Oreochromis niloticus: one gene and its partner. The main gene of each other region encodes a partner of the protein of the gene in region 2 in a complex. Links are inferred from orthologs where the notes say so. Each region holds a gene or a part of one and is shown on either strand. Other genes may lie near its edges.

Region 1 (10,553 bases), on a different chromosome or scaffold from region 2:
CAATGAAGATCAGGTCCGAAGATAAGAGACCTGCAAGCACACAGAGTACGTGTAATGTCACGTCACCTGCAGTATTTGCATACATCTGTGTGTGTGTGTTTGACCCAACCTTGAAGAAGGGCAGGGATGATGTGACAGTCCACCAGGGACTTGATGTTGTTCTCAGTGCCCATGGCGAGGCTTCCCAGCACCACAGCGCACTCTGTCCTCAGCTCCATACTGGATGAGCTCTGCTGCAGCAGGTATAATAACCTGGAGCCAACAGAGGGGGGAAGCACAGTCAGGGTTTCTGTAGGTTTTTAATAAGACAGTTGAATAAAGTCTTATCACTTCTATCCAATGCAATTTATATACAGAGCACTGAAACACAACAACAGTCACCTCAAGGCACTTTATACTGTAAGACAAAGAACCTACAATAGAAAATCCCAACAATAAGATGACCCCTCCATGAGCAAGCAGTTTGTGACAATGGAAAAGGAAAAACTCTCGTTTAACAGGAAGAAACCTCCGGCAGAACCATACATAGGAAGTGGAAACAGACAAATAAAGCCCCCAGCAGCCTATTTTTCTAGCCTTTGCCTAGAGAGGGCATCTGTCTCCCAACTCCAACCTGGGAGCCGGTTCAACAGAAAAACAAACCCTGCATAACCTGTAAGACATCGCAGAATTTACTACCAGGTTATACTGCATAGCTTTAACAGCTGTGCTGTAGTTTCATATTATTATGAACTACAACTTTACACTACTGTCAACAAAACAGACATCAGCATGTAGAACCTGGGGGTAAAAATAAACTTGGCCCTAACAGACCCTTTTAAGTATCCATCTACTCTGTATCTGTGACCAAATGGGTTCAGAGGATGGCTGGGGTAATGTACTGTGGTGAGTTTCATGCTCTGTTATGATGTCAAAGAGGTTGGGGGTTGCAAAACCACTGGACTTCAATAGCACCATAAGTGCTTTTAATGTGGTCCAACTTATTTGGTTGGAGGCACAGAAACAAGAGGGTAAGTGTGCCATGTTCCAACAGCTTCATGTAAGTGCATTAGAATGACTTTTCCAAAGGCCAAAAGAAGGAAGTAGAGAGCAGGAGCGTGTGAGAGGCGCGGGGATTCATACCTTGGCACGGCTCCGAGGACAATCAGATTGGCCTTTTGCTTGTTGTTTCCTATGACAGCGTTCTTCATGTCACTGTGAAGGCATACAAATACATCCAAATGAGACATGTGAATGTATTTGAAACAACATAATATAACCTTAAGAGTCAATATGAACACCTTGATTTATAGCATGTTATCATTTAATTGCTAAGTTATAAGCACATCAGGCTGACACAGGTCAGGCAGGCTGACAGACAAACAACAACAGAAATCATTGATATCAATCTCATGTTCTACATATTCTCATGTAACACATTAGAAATGAACAGGCTTCATCTAAGTGCATTTTCGCCCTGTGTGCTTCTGCTGCTGTTAGTACCTCCAGATGATATGTGATATCAAACTGCAGCGAAGTGAGTGGAAAAGCACACTGATCTAGGAGGCAGTTAAGGTGGTCAGGCGCTTGGCTAAAGAAGCGATACAAGTCGTAACCAGAGCTAGTCTCCCCGTAAGTTAAAAATAACTAAATAGTCCGAGTCCAAATCACAGCAGTCCAGACCAAGAGTGAGAGTGAGACACAAAGTCACAAACAGCTAAGCCTGTGCATGTAAGCACACACTCCTTCTGGAACACTGTTGTCACTAATGTTTAGAATTTGTGACATTAAAAACAAGCACATGTGTTGGTAAATGATAAACAGCCGGTGGAATTAAACTCTTAGCAACAACAACAGCTGAATTTAACATAACAGTGTGGACTGTTTGTTTTGGGGGGGTTTTAAACCACCGATTTCGTTCATTTTCAACAAAAAAGAAAGAAAAAAAAAAAAATCAGGAAAGCCCAAAGATGTGTTATTGCAGTGGCTGAATAAAGTCTGCAAACTGGAAGTAAGCAGAATTTCACAGCTGTCATTTACTGCCAAAAAATTACTTCAAACCTTGTCAACCCTTTTTTCCTGCACTTTGTAAAACAAAATTTAAAACAAGATCAAAAACAAACAAAACAGGACACGCAGAGATTTTTCTGCAATGTCTCCACCCACCCAACAGGTTTTGGCCTTTCACCAAGAGAATTAATGAAAACTGTGAAAAAAATATATGTAAGACTTCACTTTAATTTACAAGTTTGCATTTTGTGCATCAAACAAAAACAAAAAAACTCTATAAGATGCACAGACTTCTTGCCTTACCTATATAAGGTGCGACAGTATTTTTGTGTGTATTCACATAAGAACTATTCTGACACAGGAAAAACCCTGATCTACATGTGTATATGTCATACGCGATCAGACCCACACTTACATGACTCCCTGAAGCACTTTCTGTGGGTCGGGGTCAAACAGTCTGTCAACATAATGCCGACTGGTGGCGGTGACTTCCTGCATTAGAACAAAAAACAAAGCAAAAACACAAACATTACTTTTAGAAATCACTGACCTCACCCTGGATTTACCTTGTACAGTGTTTTTTCTCTACACTATCAAACGCTGTGCTCCACATCTGACAACAGACAAAGTGCACATATTTCAGCAGAGTAAAACCCTACGGAATTTGGTTTCTAACTGGACAAATATTAACCATTAAATAAACAATAATTAATTATACATAAAAAGGGCAGTTTTAAATTGTTATTTTTTACAACTAAAATAACACTTTTTGTGTTACACGCAGAGAAAAATACAGCAGGCTCCACGGCAGGAGCCTTTAAAAGCTTTTTGACACTGCACCCGGTGGCTGCATGCGACACCAGAAAACTTTGTTTATATCACTGGCAGCTTTGACCAGAACTTTCCGGAGAAGTCAACGTCCTCCAGCTGCCAACGAAGTCACACTTGTGATGCCAGCACGTAGCTCACAAGGTGTCCCAACACGTTCTGTACCTGTGTACCTCTCATTCAGACAGCCACTGTGGCAAACATTCATTTCACAATTACACAGCATTAAGCATGTATACACAATAAGGGATCAACTCGTGTTATAAAAAAAAAAAAAAAGAGTCAAGCTGAGATGCTAAAGTATCAGTTACCATGATATCTTCAATCACGCTGCCTCCTTTCTGCATACACCTACCATGGGGGGCGTTTCACTATTGCTCCTTACGCGCTTTTTCGTGGAACATTTTGCGTTATATTAGCCAAGTTACAGTTTGCAGTGAGTGTCACTTGCTAGAGTAAATCCCAGAGTCTTACCAGTTACTACAGCTCTGACTGCCGACACACTACATATAAAAACACCTCAAGAGTAAGGAAACCAGTGAGTTAGCAAAGTTTGCTTCGCTAGCTTAACCGTATGCTACAGTTGCTAATGTTACTTGCAGGAGCACCTAACGTTAGCTAGGTTAACAATGTTAAGTTTGCTATTGCAATTAAGACGGCGCATAACTTAAAATCAAATAATACTGAGTGGTTTGAATAAAAATCTCATTCCTACAACTTGTTATCCAATGTGCATGATGCATTCTATAAACGTGTTTTGACTACTGCAAAACTGGTGACAGCACTGGTACTCTTAGCAATTAGCTGCTAACTCATTCCGAGTAACACTGACAGCTAGTTTGTTCGCTTAATTTTGTTTTAGATTACAACGACGGGGCGAGCGGGCACAACTCGCATGTATTCCCTTTATTGTGTTCAGAATGTTCCCGCCCGCCCGGGGAACGCGAGGAAACAAGTCATTCTCTACAACAGCTACGTAGGCGGACCGCTACATGTTGCAATGCCTTTAACTTAGCTTTATGGCTAACAGAAAAACCTTTATACTTGACACCTTCTAGCTGACCATACAAAATCAGCTACTCGCAGTTGGCGCTTGCATTCTATAACCTGACACTGCTAGTTGAAATTATAAAGACTGGCACTCACAGACAGCACACTGATGCGGAGTGGGGCCTCCAATAAGCACGCCATCTCTCTTCCTCCGATGGAGCGCCCCAATCGGCGCAGCAGTCTGGAGACACTCCACCCCCCAGAGCAGCTTTGAGAGGCCTTTAAAAAGTAACTGTAGCCTAATCACACAACTCTTCGCTAGCGTTATTTCTAAAACAGGCCTCTATATTCTTCCGTAGGCTCAGCTGTGATGTCCCGTAGCAGATATGCAACAAAAACCAACACCGCTAACTTAGCGAGCTCTCTGACAGACCGTGGACTTGTCAATAAAGTAAATATTGTTTATAAACGTGACGTAGTTGCTGTCTGCTTGAATTTGATTCGACACAGTAGGTTGACTCGTGCGAACTATGCATCAGATTAAGGAATAAATATAAAAACGGTAATTTTTAAAATACAATATATTTTTAAATCAAGTCTTAGCAACAAGTATAGTAATATAATTCTACACATTTATAATGGAATCTACTGCTAGATACTAGAATTTGATGAAGAATTGCGCATGCGCTCGTATTGGTAGAGGCGAGGTGGGAAAATTCATTCTGTTCGTTTCTTCCACAAACATAAGCATGTTTTTTTGCACAAGTTTGCAACTTTATGGATTATAAACCGGCTCAAAATACTCGTTAATTATACTCCCATATTTGTAAGTACTCAATTCGTTTACTTTGCTCTGGTTTAACAAATTTCCTCCATGTACGCTGTCGAGTTGTTTCGCTTAATTACGTAGCCTAGCTAGCTGTTGCGTGTTGTATCGTAGGACCTGAGCTCCTAGTGTGAGGATACGAAGTAGAGGATTCTTAAAAGCAAGATGGGACACATTTGTCAGATTAAAAATAAATAAAAAATAAAAAGTGTCGTGCACTACTTACTGCACGTATTCAAGGGCTACCCCCCGGTGCAGCGTGCATTGTTGAGTCTTTAATGTGTTAAAAAAAGGTGCTAGGGTCATCTTCAGTTCGCATACCTTTCATTTAATTTATTGTTTCTAGAAAAATGAAACATGACAGTCCATCAGGAGCTCTGCTCACGCGCTAAAATTAAACGGGTGTCTACCCGATTGCTCCTGGATAGCTTTAGTCACATGGTAATTCATTAGCACTGTTTAAGATAATCCAACACCGTATTATAGGTTATTAAAGTCCCTTTCCACTGTGTGATTAAAGGGCAACTAAAACTATAATCCAACTAGATGTGAGAAAAAAAATCGCAACTGAAATGTATATTAGAACTAGAGTTTAGCGAAATTGTGTGTTAAGTGAAAGTAATCATCATCACCATTGTATGTCTTTATAGACTGCCAAATCATCTTTTAGGAGGCCGTGGACCTCAGCTTGACTGTGTCCACAGAGGCCGATGGTGTTTAGATGAGAACAGAAGCCATCCTTTAGTGTGAATGTGAATTTCTCTGCACGTTGGCAGATCATCTGTTTGCACAGGATGAAAATTGCAGTAGAAGGCTGTTGCCATGGGGAGCTGGACAAGATTTATGAGACAATTGAGTATCTGGAGCAGAAGGAAGGGGTGAAGGTGGACCTGCTGCTTTGCTGTGGAGACTTCCAGGCAGTGCGAAATGAGGGAGACTTGAAGTGCATGGCAGTGCCTGCCAAGTACAGAACCATGCAGACCTTTTACAAGTAAGTTCTTTGTTTATGTTGTGTGTTTTGTTTTTTTTTTTAAATCAAAGACACGAGTAAGGACATTTAAAACTTTATTATTGTCTGTGTTGCAGGTACTATTCTGGAGAGAAGGCGGCTCCGGTGTTGACCATTTTCATTGGAGGAAACCACGAGGCTTCCAATCACCTGCAAGAGCTGCCTTATGGAGGCTGGGTGGCACCAAACATTTATTATCTAGGTAGAGACTGACTGATTCCAAATTTGTTTGCCAGCTTGTCTGACTCGCCACAGGCCTGACCTATATAATCACATGTCCCCAGGTTATGCTGGTGTTATTCGCTACAAAGGGATCAGAATTGGTGGCTTATCTGGCATTTTCAAATCACGTGACTACAGAAAGGGTATTTGTTTTTGTTTGTTTAGCTTTTCAAATAGTTGAGGCTACACTGCTATGCATCATATTTACATGGAATGTTTTCACTTTAAGGCCACCATGAATTCCCTCCATATAATCCTGAAACGCTTCGAAGTGCATACCACATCAGAAATATCGAGGTTTTCAAATTAAAACAGGTAAATCTCACAAGTTCTTCCACAGAACTCTAAATGATTATCCACTTGTTTAGCTAAATGTACAGTGTTAATTTTACATGATTATTTCTGCTAAGATCCAGATGCCCATAGACATTTTCATGAGCCATGACTGGCCTCGTGGAATCTACTACTACGGCAGCACGAAGGAGCTGTTACGAAAGAAGAAATTCCTTCGTCAGGAGGTGGAGTCAAACTCTCTGGGAAGTCCTGCTGCAGAGGAGCTCCTAGCTCACCTCCAGCCTAGCTATTGGTTCTCTGCGCATCTTCATGTGAAATTTGCTGCCATTATGCAGCATCCGGTGAGGGTGACAGTTGTTCAGTTAGAATTACTGCTGCTAATAAGGATTTAAATAAGGTTTAAATCGTTCTAACTATCATTTTGGTGATCTCTTATTTTCAGCCTAAAGGTAAAAGTGCACCACACGTAACCAAATTCCTGTCTCTGGATAAATGTTTGCCCCACAGGGAATTCTTACAGGTGGGACAACTTTTTTTTTTAATTGATATATTAGGATCAGAGTCTGGGTTAAAGTGTGTGAGCTAACACCTTTTGTTTTTTCAGATTGTGGATATTCCTGAAAGACCAGGTTCATCTGAGGGTCTTGAATATGATCCAGAGTGGCTTGCTATTCTCAAGGCTACCAACACTCTACAGAGGACCACTCCTCACCCCTGGAACCCCCCAGAGAATAATGGCTTGCATGAACGGTACACACGAATACACATAAAAGTAACAAGGCCTGTAAAAGCAGAGTTAAGTTGCTGCTTGCATTATTTCAACAACATCAGTCTCCCAGAACTAAGACTTTGTAAAAACATTAGCTTGAACATAGAGTCAGTGTCATGCAGCAGGGGAAAGGTCACTCTGGAAGACAGGATCTGTGTAGGATGTTATCACCACCTGTGTTGCCTTGGCGAAATAAGCAACAAAAATAAGCTCTATGGGAAAAACAAGTTGGATATTTGCATGTTTTGTTTGGCAACATGTTCTCCACAAATTAATGCCACTTTTATGATTTTTTGAAGCGCAAGTAAAACGTTAATAACCAATAGGAGCACTAGAGCTAGTCACTGGAATTTTTTTTAAACTACAGTGCTCAGCTGTGTACAACGTCACGACAGAACAAGAATGAAGTTGCTGGTGCAGCTAGTTAGACCTGTGAAAGTTAGAGAGGGAGTATGAAACTCACTGCTTCAGCTGTTGGTTTTCATTCTTTTCCTTCTTCCCAAAGCCAGCAAGCACAACTGAGCGCGGAGCAATTTGTAGTGTGTCACACTGCTTAGTCATGGAAATACATTTGTATGTGTAGATGGTAACGAAAATAAAGCAGAAGGAAAGATTTCTCTGGACGCCAATATTTGCTTAAATCAGCTCAATGCATGTTTTCAGTGATGCCAAAACAATACTTCACATAGTGTCTTTGCGTCCATACAGGGAGATAGTATTGTGTAGCCTAATAATGAGCTGCCATGTTATTGGTTTATGGACAGGCAGAAATATAATGTAGTCTGAACCCAGCACTAAGTAACTACACCACAGTTGCATGAGTTCAGTGGCACCACCACCCAACAGAACTTTTATTTTGTCATTTCTGCTGACCTTTGCTTCAGATGCTTTTACTCATTATGACTGAGCAGTTTTTGTTCATGCTTTCTTTTATAATGTTGGCTTGCATACACCCATCAGGTGGGACTTCAGCGCTTCAGAAGCCGCTATGATGCAGGTGGTGGAGGATCTGAGCGGTGATCTTGGCATTCCAGACAACTTCAGTCTAACGGTGCCATCCTACAACCCCAACAAGCCCCATCCTCAGGCCACCCCGAGCTACAACACCAACCCTCAGACCACCGAGCTTTGCGCCAAGTTGGGTCTCACAGACATCTATGCACAGGTCGGGCGGGGAGAAGATGAGGTGGCGAGAGTTCAGGGCAGTACTGGAGGAGAGGATGACGATGACGAAGATGAAGATAGTTTGGGAAGTACTGACGAGCCCAGCGAGTATCCAACCGATACTTCAGGATTGTCAGGTTCATTTAATCCAGATGAGATCACCATAGAAGACGAGTGGGAGGAGGAGGAGTTGAAAGCAGAGGTGAAAGGGGACGAGCTTTTTGATGCCAAAGCAGGTGAAATCCACACACCCAGCCGTATGGTTCTACCCGAGCCCAAATGCGGCGTCTCGCCCCCTCCTCTGCCCGACCTCATGAACCTGCCGCCTCCTTCCCACTCTACCCCAGCTCACGCTCAGTTTGGAGCAGACAGGGCAGCACAGGGCAGCGGCGACGATGAGGACGTCACAGCTGCACGCATCCTAAAACGAACCAGCATTGAGAGTGGGGACGCTGGCAGCAGAGGCCCAACTCCAAGAATCAAACGCAGAAACCAGGTGATCTATACAGCAGCGGAGGATGATGAGTGTGAGGGATAGATAGGCAGTGTACACTTCTCCATTAGTTTATATTCATTAATTTATGTACCTGCAGCTACTCACACGAGCTGTTCAAAGCAGGGGCATGGCTTTATTAAAATGCCCGTAAAGGTGGACTGTACACAAGCAAAGAGAATTAGTTTCTGGATTCAGTTTCCACAGAAATTATACCCACCAAAAATGTTTCGTTGTTTAAATATGATTTTTATGTATTTTAAGCCAACCAGATTTTTTAGGACATTGATTTTTTTTTTCTGACATTGTAATTTCAAGATGATTAAAGAGGCCAGAAAGATGAGAACAGCTTTTTTTTTTTTAAAACAGAATAATGACTTCACAGCTTTATTGAACACTTACATATCGTAGGTGCTGATGGAAAAAGCAAGTCTTTGTTTTAATTACTTGTCATCTTACTCGTACAGACCACTGAACCTACGTTAAAACACTGAACAATGACAGTGGATGCCGTTTCTTGTATATAATGAGCTGTTAGTGTTGAGAAGAGCTGCACTTTTTTTTTTAAGCCTTCCATTTGCATACTATTTGAAAATTGTTTTAATGAGACTTCAGTTTTCCTCATCAAAATGCTTGGATGTGAAAATAAAGCCGAAGAAAAGATTTCTCTGGACACAGATGTGTGTTTAAATCCCACTGATTTATAACATTGATCAGAGTCCTTCCAGGTTCACAAGTGTGCTCTGCTAAAAATCAACAAACATTCTCAGTGAAATTAAGACAATATTTAACATACAGTGTATTCGACAGGATCTCTACATCCATACAAAGAGCCAGTACAGTATAGCCTAATGACGGGGTGCCAGGTTTTTGGTTTATGGTGCAAACCAACGTCAGGGAGTAGTCTTGTGCCTTGTCTGCAAAGCACACACTCAAAGAAAGCCCCAAACATGATTGACAGAAAGAAAACGGGGAGTAGGCACTTCTGTTTTTTTTTGTGTGTATTTTTTAATCTATTCTTTCCTAATTTTCTTCAGCCAAGCCTTTGACAGCCACTGAGCACACAGCTCATTCTAGTAAGGTAAAGGAAACAGTTATGTCATTTAAGCTGAACACAACATGTGCAGATATACTCCAGACCAAGGAGGTTTATTACAAGCCTCATACTCGAAACCAAACAGGGAGGACAATGGAAATTAAGCAATTCCTTGACATTTGGGAACACCATTTCCAGATTGAAAGCTATAGATGCCAATCAGAATAACGATTTAGTAACTCTGTCCATGTCATAGTTATACACTTCACATCCAGTGTATATTACTGCTGTAAAGAGCTACAGCAAGCTTATTCACACTAACTGAATGTACCTCAATCTTTCAATAAATAATTCTCAGACTTGCAAAGCAAGTTTCACTAATTCAGAACGTGTCAGAAGTTGAAATGTTTACTTCACATCTTAACTTTTTGGGTTACCATTTAGACTAAATAAGGGAGGAATCAGAGATGCTGGAGCTTATCAGTCTGCAGCCAAGAGAAGTAGGAGCATGGAACATTAAATAGGTATGAATTGACTTGTGTCATACAAACTGAGCCACAGGAGGGTCGGGTAGGACAGAGGGGTTCAAAATCATTCCCGGGGTTCAATTTGGTATTTATTCAAAGCAGCTGCAAACTCTGGGGGGGTGACTGCAGTCTCTTTTAATGCCTCGGCCCTTTTTTCTCCTTTCGGGACACTCGGCAACATGTGCTGCTCAGTTTGTGCCAATCGGAGCTGTGACTGAAAATGATGCAAGGCAGAGTGAACACGAAAGAAATTTCACAATTAGTGCTAAATACTACAGCAGGCTTGCCACCATCTTCCACATTCCTCTTAATCTCAGTCTTCTCTATACCGTGTCTTTCCAAATGTGGAATCAGAGTTGTTGGTCAACAGACACGTGTGAAACGCTGTCTCTGTCCTCCATCTCTG
Region 2 (10,350 bases):
AATGTCAGATAGCTTTGACTAAAACACTACTTCTGAAGGAATCTGTTTAATTTAATGCATTATGACGTTATAGTTCAAAATCTAAAGGAATGTATAGACTGTTCTCATCTCCACATTGGTGTGGCTGATTTACATACAAGGTGTCCTCTTTAACTATTCCCTGATACATCAGGTTAGGTATTAAGCAGCCAGCTTTCTTCTGAGTGGCATGAGTGGCAAACATAAGGTTTGAACCAAAGGTGGGTGCAGCTCCTGTGGTCACAGCCAGAGCTGTGTACCTGAGATGATCATATTAGAGCTATCCTGTCATCATGCAGAGTGAAGATTAAAAATAAAACTGACAGAGTATTTAGATCAGCCTGAACTTTTGGCTGATTGGGATTACTTTCACATGACTAACATCATCATTTGAAATTTTGGCCATGTTTAGGCACGAGCATCCGCCACTGCAGCAGTACATATCTGAAAGAAAATGAGAAAAAACACAATAGGTACCTTTAATGGAGATATAATATGTAAAACGCAACTGCAGATCAGCAGCAGAGATCTTAAACATTGTCTCTGAGATCTTAAATTTGATTTTAAACACACTCATTGCCTGTGTCAGAGGGACAAATCATTTTGTTCCGATTAAAGCCCTGCCAGCTAAAATGATTAATTCCCTCAAACAGAATAAAAGAAGGCATAATAATAATAATATTTGCTGATAACTAACATTAGAGGGAAAAGCAGGATCTAGCTGATATAATTAGTCAAACATTAAGCTAGAGTGTTTTTTAAGACGTGGGATCTCTGCTGTTAACGTCTGTTCACAGTGTACTGTATTATTAGTCTGAGCCACCAGATGGTGCTGTGACCATCCACCCCAACATCCACCTTCACTGCTGAGGTTTTGCTGGATGTCCTGTCCTTGCAAAAGTCTTTATTTCCAGTGTCTTTATTCAGGCTGTTAATCCTTGCAAAAAGATGTCAGCTAATGGGGTGACTGATAACTGACAGACCATCTCTGTTAATTAAAACAGTTAGAATCTGCTTCAGACCAGCTCAGACTGTTGTTTAAGATTTTGGTGCAAGTGTAACAGCAGTGTTTACACTGTAAGTTTGACAGTCAAATTAACAGTCATGTTTTCATGCTTACTTGGTATTGTCTGGAGTGGAGACGTCTGGAGAGATAACTGACTGAGAGACCCGAGTCAAAAACAAGCTGGGCTAATAAATGTGTATGAGGTGAATAACATTGCACTGCTATAATTTGTGGATTATTAAAATAATCTTGAACCTCTGATGCATGTTTTGTTTTACCTTAATATAATAATACAAATACAAACCTTTTAAAAGTGCAAAATTGACTACAGAATTACTCATGTTTTTATCTTAACATTACTCATACACTCAGAAATGCACTGGCCTTTATTTACAACTTGTCTTGCTGACCATACGACAATTTATTCCTCCTACATCTACAATTCTTCAATCTTCAATCCTTTGGATATGCACACAAGAGAGATGCAGGATGAAACTTTTGAATTTATCTTTAATTAAGAACATTTTCTTAAATGTTAAAATATAAAATTGTATTTTAACTTTAACTCTTTTGTATTTGCTTGGACACGGACTATCTTCTTATATTACACATGGAAATCTAGAAGAAATAGTGCAAATATGTACCTTTTTCTTCTGGTGCACATGCAACCACCAGCCACTTTATTAGATACACTTTACTGGGTTAGACTAGTTTTTGCCTTAATCATTTGTGGCATAAACTGAGCAAGGGGTTGAAACTACTTCTCACAGATTTTGGTCCATATTGACATGATGACATCACGCAGTTGCCGCATGATGAGAATCTTCTGGTTCTCCTGGTTCTTGTATCAACAGTTCAGGCATCCATGTTATTATGTTCCATCCATCCATTGTCAATCAGAAGTTGTCTTGACCACATGTTAAAGTCTCAATCTATTGAGTTGAAGAATTGGTTAATTAGATATTTGCATAAGCAGTTGAACAGGTGGATTTGGCACCAGGTGGCATTCCTGTCACAGCTCCAAAGGGTGCCTGCAGCTGGAACTGAACCAGCAACCTTCTACTTATCAAGTGAGTGTGTTAACTTCTACACCACAAAGAGCAAAAGAAAAGTGAAAGGTGCTCCTGGAAGTATATTATGTTCTGTCAAGTTAATTACCACTAAGAACTGAAAGCAATGGCAAATAATATAGACATATAAATAATATATCATATATATAAAATATAAACAATATAAAGTTTTTTAATACAACATTTTGTGCATGGGAAGCAGAAGCACAAAATAAAAGTGCTAACAAAAAACAAACTGAAGTTATTTCACATCATGCAATAAAGTACAGATTCTTAGTCACATAAACCTACAAAATCATAAATTTTTAATTATGTGTTTTAATTCATTTGATTAGTGGAAAAGCATAAACAGCATATTGTGACGTATACATATGCATACATACAGGGGCTTTATTACATCGCTCTACACAGCGTCACCAGTGGTTAGAAGGCAAGCTTTAAATACCACTTTATTTGATTATTCTGCTCTGAATTCCTTTTTAGAAACTTTTGTTCTTTATTTTCTTACAGTTTTATTCCTCTTCATTTTGCAACACCCAGAACATTTTCATGTAAAATCAGTACAAACTAAAATGTGATCAATATGGAATATTATAATGGATAAATACAGAATTAAATTACAAAAAAAAGCACTGAAGCTAAGCCTTGATGTGGCTCGGTTAACACAGGAAGAGGGTCAAACCCAGCAGAGCCCTTCTGTGTGGACTTTTGTTCTTACTTTCGAGGGTTCTGGTAAATTCTGTAAAAGAGATTCTTAATCACTTTCACTTCCTGGTTTAATATCGTTCAAAAGGATACACAAACCAGAGATTCTCAATGTATGGAAATCATTATTTCTGTAAAATATTGCTGTTGATTTAAAATACTTTGCTTGTACAAACTGTTTTTATAGCTTATTTTGCTATGCTCTTGGTTTATACTGATTCATTGATGTGTCATTAGCCTTTTTGTGTTTGAGCTGCTGAATATAAGATGATAAGTGAAAATATCCCTCTCTAAAAAAACAATAATAGAATAAATAGCTTCATAGTTTATAGATGAATACATTTTTCCCCACTGGTTTCAAATCCGAGCTTTCATTTCTGTTGCACTATTATTTATTTAATCATTTGTTTAAGACACTGAGGAGCTGTTCCCAGCACAATTTGTACCCATTCTGCTTCTACGGCACACGTCTTGCTGATGATAAACAGCCAAGGCCTAATGTGTGTGTTTTCCAGGGGATGTGAATGTGAGCAACTGCTTCCCTACAGGGAGCGTAACATCATTTCAGATTCCTTTTTAGTGATGCAATGAACATTCCCACATGTTGGCGCGAGGGACATTCACAGACCATGTGAGCCAAACAAAACAAAACAAAACAAAAAAAAACCCCTTTAGTTTATAACAGTGATCAGAGCTGCTGGAAACAAAAACAAGACAAAACACAATCTTTAAAACAACTGTTTTTAGTTCATTCACTGGCAGGCATGAATTATGTATTACTGCCAAGCTTTTGTTTTACTTTCTGTCTGTGTGTGTTTTGACTGAGCTGGTTTCCTTTAATTTAACTATTAAAATATCAACTAACAGGCTGGATTAGTGCTGAACTACACCCAGAGAGGCCCCACACAAAAATATTCTGTTAATTCATAGGAATTTTATTAGCTGCATGTCAGTTTAAAGTTCAAAACACTGATGCTAAATCCTTTTTACTGTAATGTTAATAGGCCCTTTAAAAAAATACAAGGTTAGGGAAAGATTATTACATAAAAAGACCACTTTAATCATAAGATACGACTTTATTAACACTGAATTCAAAAACCACCTTTCCTTAAACATTGGCTACATAATTACCCCTCACTGTCTCTGGCCTGTGTTTGTACAGCCACCATCCACCCCAACCACCTCCCTGATTAGCCCATAACATTTTCTCACAACAGAAAAACACTGCCAAATAGCAACACAAAATGGTAAGAGGTCATTTTTAGATACCAGAATGTCTTTTAATTTACCTGATACATTCATAGTACACATTGCAGAATAAATTCATGTTTATTTAACAGTTAGCGATTACATGAAGCACAGTAAACTCTGAAGAAAGTGCTAATATTTTTTCAGAGAAGGAAAGGACACTTGTACCTAGTGGAGGTCGGGGTTGGTGAAGGGTATTTGAATGGTAAAACCCGCCACTCCAACCTTAATCAAGATTTTGAACTTTTTGTTTATACCCTAAGCGTAGCATCATTAGTATCAACCTTTACTCCACCTTTATTACCTGTGCAATCTACTATATGTTGCATTCAGTTGCTGTTTGCAAGTTACATGTGCTGTAATTATGTTTAACTTCTGCCCAATGAGGGTACCAATATGTATTACCGGGGCATCACTGTTTACAGTGCAGCAAAAATAGAAATACAGGGATGTAAACTGAACATAGTTGGATGAAAATCCTTTAAACATTTGCCAAAAAAGCAATTTGACTAAATAAACTTCTTCATGTTAGCAATTATTTGATAATCATCTTTTATAAAGTAATACTGGTTCAGTCTTGTCCACAGTACAAAAAACAAAAAATCAATGTAAACAAAGAAATGTATTTTAATGAAGCAAACAGTCATTGATATAATGTAGTAATTAGATGTAAATCCGACAAATGAAGATTTCAAAAATTGAAAAATTAAATAAAATTAGCCCCAATAAAACCCTGGCTGTCAACATGTGTGAGACTGCAGGCAAAAATAAAAATGCAATTAATGTGCAGTACACTGTTAATAAACTAGAAGAAGGCACATCTATAGATATGGTGCTTACTGTGATTAATTATTATCAAGCTACTCTATATGCTCTCTGAAAATCCTTCAAGTGAGAGAAATCCTTCTAATGCTACAGAGTAGGGCTGGTGGAGGACCAGGGTTTTTTATTCATGTGGTTCCATAGTGGAGTGGTGTACATATTTGACAAACAAGTGTAAGATACCTGGTTTGATTCCAGGAGGAAATGCAAGGTGAATTGAACCACGAATCCTGACAAGACCTCCCTTTGGTGTTCCGGGTATTTGGTAGCCACCATGGCCCAATCAATCATGCAGCACAACTGGCCATGGTGACTACTTTTGAATATGGTGTAGCTGAAAGTAGCTTTGTTTTTGTTTTATTATCTCTCCATGCTCCTCTTTTCCGTATTTCCTTTCCATTAATCCCCCTACTTGATCACCACAGATAGCTGCCCTTCCCCAAGCCTGACTTGAAGTCTCTTTCCTGTTAAATAGGAGTTCTTCCTTCATATGGTTGCCAAAAGCTCTTTGTATGTTTGTTTATATTATTAAAACTGAAATAAATAATTAAAGTGACACCTTCAAATTGTGGTTAGCATGGTGGTTAGCACCTGGACCTTGCAGCAAGAAGGTCTTGGGTTCAAATCCAGCCTTTCCTGCCTCTCCTGTAGTTTGCATGTTCTCTCTGTGTCTTTGTGGGTTCCCTCTGAGTATTCTGGCTTCCACCCAAAGAAGTGGATAGGGTGGAGTAAGTGGTAGATAAAAGAGAAAAAAAAGAACTTCCAAATTAAGACCATATAGATTTTTCACCTTACATTGTCATAGGATATTAAAAAGAAAAACATATAATTAAATGCAAATCTAGTTTAGAAACATCAACAATAAAAAGGTAACAGTAATGATAGAGCTTAAAAACTGAAAACAATTATGATGACACTAATCATGAAGGCTTGCTGACAGTGTTAACCTTGTAATCTACTGATAAGATAGTTTTTAGCTCACTCTGTGTATTTACTTCACATTCCCATAGGAAGTGAGTGGAGCTGTTCTCAGCCAATCAGATCAGCGGATAATGCTCCGACAACAAACAAAAGATCGAGGCTAGCCGAGCTCATCATACTTTGTCGATCCGTCTAGGCTAACGTTAGTAGTTACTTTGCCCCCAGCAACGACTAGCTCCCTGTTTTTTTAAACTTCTTCGCTCAGATCCGGTGGGGCAGTCTCATCCTCTTGTTTCTATTTGTGTTTTAGTCAGACCTAATGTCAACCTGAGCCATTTTCAGCTATCGCTTCGCCTTTGCTGGCCAAGCTAAACGCGTTAGCCAGGTTAGCTGTTCGGCTAACCAGCTCTGGCTGCCTCTCTGCAACAACCAGCGAAGCCAATTAGCTTAGCTTCCTAGCTCGCTAGCTTTGCTAACTCCCCTTTAAAACTTGACACTGACGGACACAAGTGGTTCTGGCTTGTTGCTGACAAGCCAGTTTACTAAAACTCGTGTCGTAGCCATGTCTGGACAGTCATCCGGCGGTGGGTTTCTGATGTCGGTAGTTGTCCACGGAGACTCGGCTCTGAACGAGCAGGAAAAAGAGCTCAATCAACGGCTCCGACGGCTCTATCCGGCCGTTAACGAAAACGAGACTCCACTTCCCCGATCCTGGAGCCCGAAGGACAAGTTCAGCTACATCGGACTGTCTCAGAACAACCTCCGTGTACACTATAAAGGTATGACAGAAAGCCTTAATCGGGAATTTCTGTACTTGTGTTACCAAATGCTAACGACATGTTAGCTTAGCTTGACGGTTAGCGGATCAAAGCCAACTGCCGTTGAGGCTAAAAACAAAGTCTGCTAAGCTAGCAGCTTCACCAACAACAAGACAGAGGACATCTTGCAACCCGACCAGCTGGCGAGGTGTAGCCACAGCCAAAATTGACCTACTAGCTTGTTAGCCTTCCTGCTACCTTGTTAAACAGCTTGTCAGCTCCATTTATAGTCACGGGAAGCTTTCACGACAGACAACCTGGCGAACTATCTTATGAAATATATATTTTAAAAAATCATCCTTAGCCAAAGTACATCTGATGGTTTGAGTGCCAAAATTACAACGTTCAGTGTTATCCAAAATGAACCAGAGCTTGACAACCCTCTGTTAGGCTAATGTAGCATTATTTTATTTATTATTGTCAGGAAATGCTGTGTCAAATATCGTGATTAGCCCGGTCAGAGGCTCTGCTAGGCTTCCAGTGAAGTGGCTAGTGTTGATAGGATATGCAGAGATAGTTGGACTAGTTTCTTAGCAAGGCTACCAAGAGGGCTTTTTCTCTTTCTTTTCTTTTCTTTTTCTGGTGCAGGCCTACAAGAAAAGGCTAGTGGAGTTTTTTGGGTTTTTTGTTTTTTTTAAAGGTGCAACTGCTTCCTGGGTGTGTACTACTATTCTGGGTCTGTCTGGCCCTCTGCACTCACTCTTCCTTGTTGCAACTAGAATGTTCTGCCTTTGTGCAACAAATCCACCTGAATTTCTTACAGCAGCTGCAACTTAAACATTCAAACACTGTAAAACTTTTACATGTACTGACCTCCAGGGAGCATTTCTCCACTTACTGAACAGTTTATTCTAACAGCAGTGTTAAGCTCTAAAATTCAGGCCTTCTGTGATTAACCATGTTTTAACAGAATGGCATAGTTGTAAATGGAAACCCTTTGATTTTAGGTAGATGGTCGTGGTTCCAATTCCACATATAAATTCTCATATAAAACCCTCTGAAAAGATTGTTCTGTGAGTTCTACTGAAACTAAATGTCAGCTGTGTCCAAAGGCCTACCAGAAATGTAAAATACATTTGTAATGTAAAATAGCAAATACTTTACAAACTGAAATGTCAGTTATGTAAACATTTTTTAAATACACATATTCACAATTCACGTGGTTAAATGCTAATATTTAGTGGTGTAGTTGGCTAGAAAATGAATAATTCTTTGGTGGGTTAAGATTTAGTTTTGGAAGATTACAACGCACATTTTTCACCATTTATCTTTTTTCTGACATTTTATGGACAAAAAGCATAAATTTTATATTTGAGAAAATAATGTGTCATAGGTTAATACAGTAATAACAGAAAAATGTTATCAGAGCAAGAGAGAATAGCATTCGTGTTACTCAGTGATATAATTCACATTTGTACACCTCACACCCAAAAACTGTTTTAAACAGCTTTACTGTGCAGAAGTTTGTATAACAGACAATGCTTAAAAGAAGAGTAGAAAATCTACACAAGTTATTGTTCTGTAAACACTGTGTTACCAATTAACCGCTCTGTAATAATGTCTGTAATTAATGATAATGCTATATTAATACAGGTTATTTGTAATCACACTTAATAATTAACATGGTCGTTGTTTTTAGTCAGTACTGATTAATTTATTGATCGGTTCATTTACCCGACTCTAATGGCTTAGCTATTTTGGTTACAGATTAATAAGTTCAAGACTTATGTTTACCAAAAATGGAAACCACTGTTAATTCTGGGTTCAGAAGTGTAAGCTGATCATCTTTAAACTCTATGTAATTATAAAGATTAAATGATTGAGTTGACTAATAAATTAATTGAAAATAATGTTTCATGCCATGGTAAAATTTTAATGGTTGTGTTTTCCTATTGCTCTTTCGATCTGGGAGCCATATTGCCAGTAGAAAATTTGTGAAATGGAGGTGAGGTGTTTACTTCACTTGATCTACATCTAGTATATGTTTTTTTATATTTGAATGTGGTTCTGGGTATTTGGGAAAAAAAAAAAATTAAATTAACTTAACTGTGATAAGTAACCAAGTGTCTTTATTAAGACATACAAAAGCATTTAAAGAAATCTTTAAATTATGACTAATTGTATTGTAAACTCAGGGCCTGTATTATGGTCTGGACATACATTTGTAAATGTATGTTGTTTTTACATGAAGGCAGTCAGGTCAAGTGATGCTGCTGTTTATTGTTGATATCCTACATATAAAGAACCAGCCATTAAGTAAATATATTGCATATTGTCAGATATTCTGTTGGCAGCATACCTCACCAAACTGAGAATTTCCCTCTCTAATGATATTTAGACCCTTATTAATAAAAACCAGTTTATTTGACTATCTATTGTAGTACCTAAACACAGCTACTGAGTAACATACAGCAGTGTAAACATGTGATTTTTAACCTTCATGATGCTGTTAATAGCTCTACACTGTGGCTTCCTGAGCTAATGTTAACCTTAAAGACTGAGATTATGAGCCGCTCAAATTCATGACGTTTGGAGTGACAATCTTCTCACCAACGACACACCCTTTGCTTGTGTGTTTATAAAAATGTCACCTGTTATATTAGCATAATATTTCTCTATCACTCGGACAGTTTGAGTGATACAAACCTGTATATGTTTTTATAGTATGTTCATCCACATATTCTTAATGGCAGACCATTGAATGTGGAAAATATGTCACCATGGAAAGTAAATTATGCAGTACTTACAAGTAAAATAATGCATCTCGACAAATAGTGGGACATCCAGTATTTTCCTTCAGGCTGCTTTTATTTATAGATCCAGACTTGGGTTGTAAAATTTTTATAGTGTATTGTCTCTGCAGAGTCCCTACCTCTCTTCTGATCCAATCTCAATGTAACTCTGACATTATTTTCTCAGTTTATATCTATTTTTTCCATTGGTGGGTAAATCTGCTAGTCAGGTGTGTTTTGTGCTTCTCAAACGTTTTGATCCGACTTAATGATTGCTAGCCTTTGCGATTTAATCCCTTACACAGCTTCTCATGGCAACAAACCCTACATACATCGTAAACTGGGCTTTAAATTAAAGTGATATTTGGTCCTTAGCCAGAGTAACTGCAGAGAGGCCTCTCTGTGTCTTGGCACTCAGCACATGTATCTCATGAACTATAGTCATTTGTACTAACTGCGCACTTCTGTGTTTTACCGCAACCTAAAGGTCATGGAAAAACACCCAAAGATGCTGCATCAGTGCGGGCCACCCACCCTATCCCAGCTGCCTGCGGGGTCTACTACTTTGAGGTGAAGATCATCAGTAAAGGCAGAGATGGGTAAGACCAGCTCTAAACATTCCAGACATGCACATTACTTTCAGCAGTGTTAATAGTTTGGGCTCATAGATGACAGTGAGTGGTTCATAAAGTGGTTAGGCAAACTGTCGAAAAATTTTCAAACTGGCAACCAGCATTATTTGTGGTTATTTTTGTTTGAAACTAGACAAAAGCAATAAGAAGAGGGGCCATGAATAGACAAACTTGATCTTAGGTGTGGTGGCCCACTCAGTGTATCAAATAATAACCAATAAAATGACCTACAATTTGTTCAAACTTCTTTTAGAGTAAAACATTTAATAGATAGCCTGGATATAAAACTGACTAAGAGCCTGCGATGTCTTCCAAAAAAATAAGTGCAATTTTGCCCCATTCAGCAAAGCTACTCTCATTACAGCAATGCACAAGCAG

The links.
Region 1: the proteins of ranbp9 (region 2) and armc8 are in contact, whole or in part, in a cryo-EM structure (PDB 7NSC), measured with the Homo sapiens proteins. The link is inferred for Oreochromis niloticus from reciprocal best matches to the Homo sapiens genes RANBP9 and ARMC8. Residues at the interface, in NP_005484.2 of Homo sapiens: Tyr271, Gly298, His299, Ser300, Leu301, Gly302, Ile303, Asp337, Asp340, Tyr341, Arg343, Glu344, Thr347; in NP_001350870.1 of Homo sapiens: Gln245, Arg246, Asp247, Val277, Leu278, Lys279, Ile317, Ile320, Thr321, Asp322, His323.

The regions. Positions count from the first base shown.
Region 1 is NC_031987.2:32,719,331-32,729,883, reverse strand, and holds the start of armc8 (armadillo repeat-containing protein 8), read right to left. Parts: upstream 4,173-10,553; 5' UTR 4,009-4,172; coding exon 3,964-4,008; intron 3,651-3,963; exon of another isoform or gene 3,176-3,650; coding exon of another isoform or gene 3,173-3,175; exon of another isoform or gene 3,165-3,172; coding exon of another isoform or gene 3,129-3,164; intron 2,482-3,128; coding exon 2,405-2,481; intron 1,195-2,404; coding exon 1,123-1,194; intron 253-1,122; coding exon 110-252; intron 31-109; coding exon 1-30. Other genes in the region: dbr1 (lariat debranching enzyme), read left to right, coding at 4,178-4,258, 5,410-5,624, 5,720-5,844, 5,927-6,007, 6,094-6,179, 6,275-6,499, 6,601-6,678, 6,763-6,908 and 1 more. UniProt on the Homo sapiens protein: Component of the CTLH E3 ubiquitin-protein ligase complex that selectively accepts ubiquitin from UBE2H and mediates ubiquitination and subsequent proteasomal degradation of the transcription factor HBP1.
Region 2 is NC_031982.2:31,500,110-31,510,459, forward strand, and holds the start of ranbp9 (ran-binding protein 9), read left to right. Parts: upstream 1-5,892; 5' UTR 5,893-6,352; coding exon 6,353-6,569; intron 6,570-9,827; coding exon 9,828-9,939; intron 9,940-10,350. UniProt on the Homo sapiens protein: May act as scaffolding protein, and as adapter protein to couple membrane receptors to intracellular signaling pathways. Acts as a mediator of cell spreading and actin cytoskeleton rearrangement.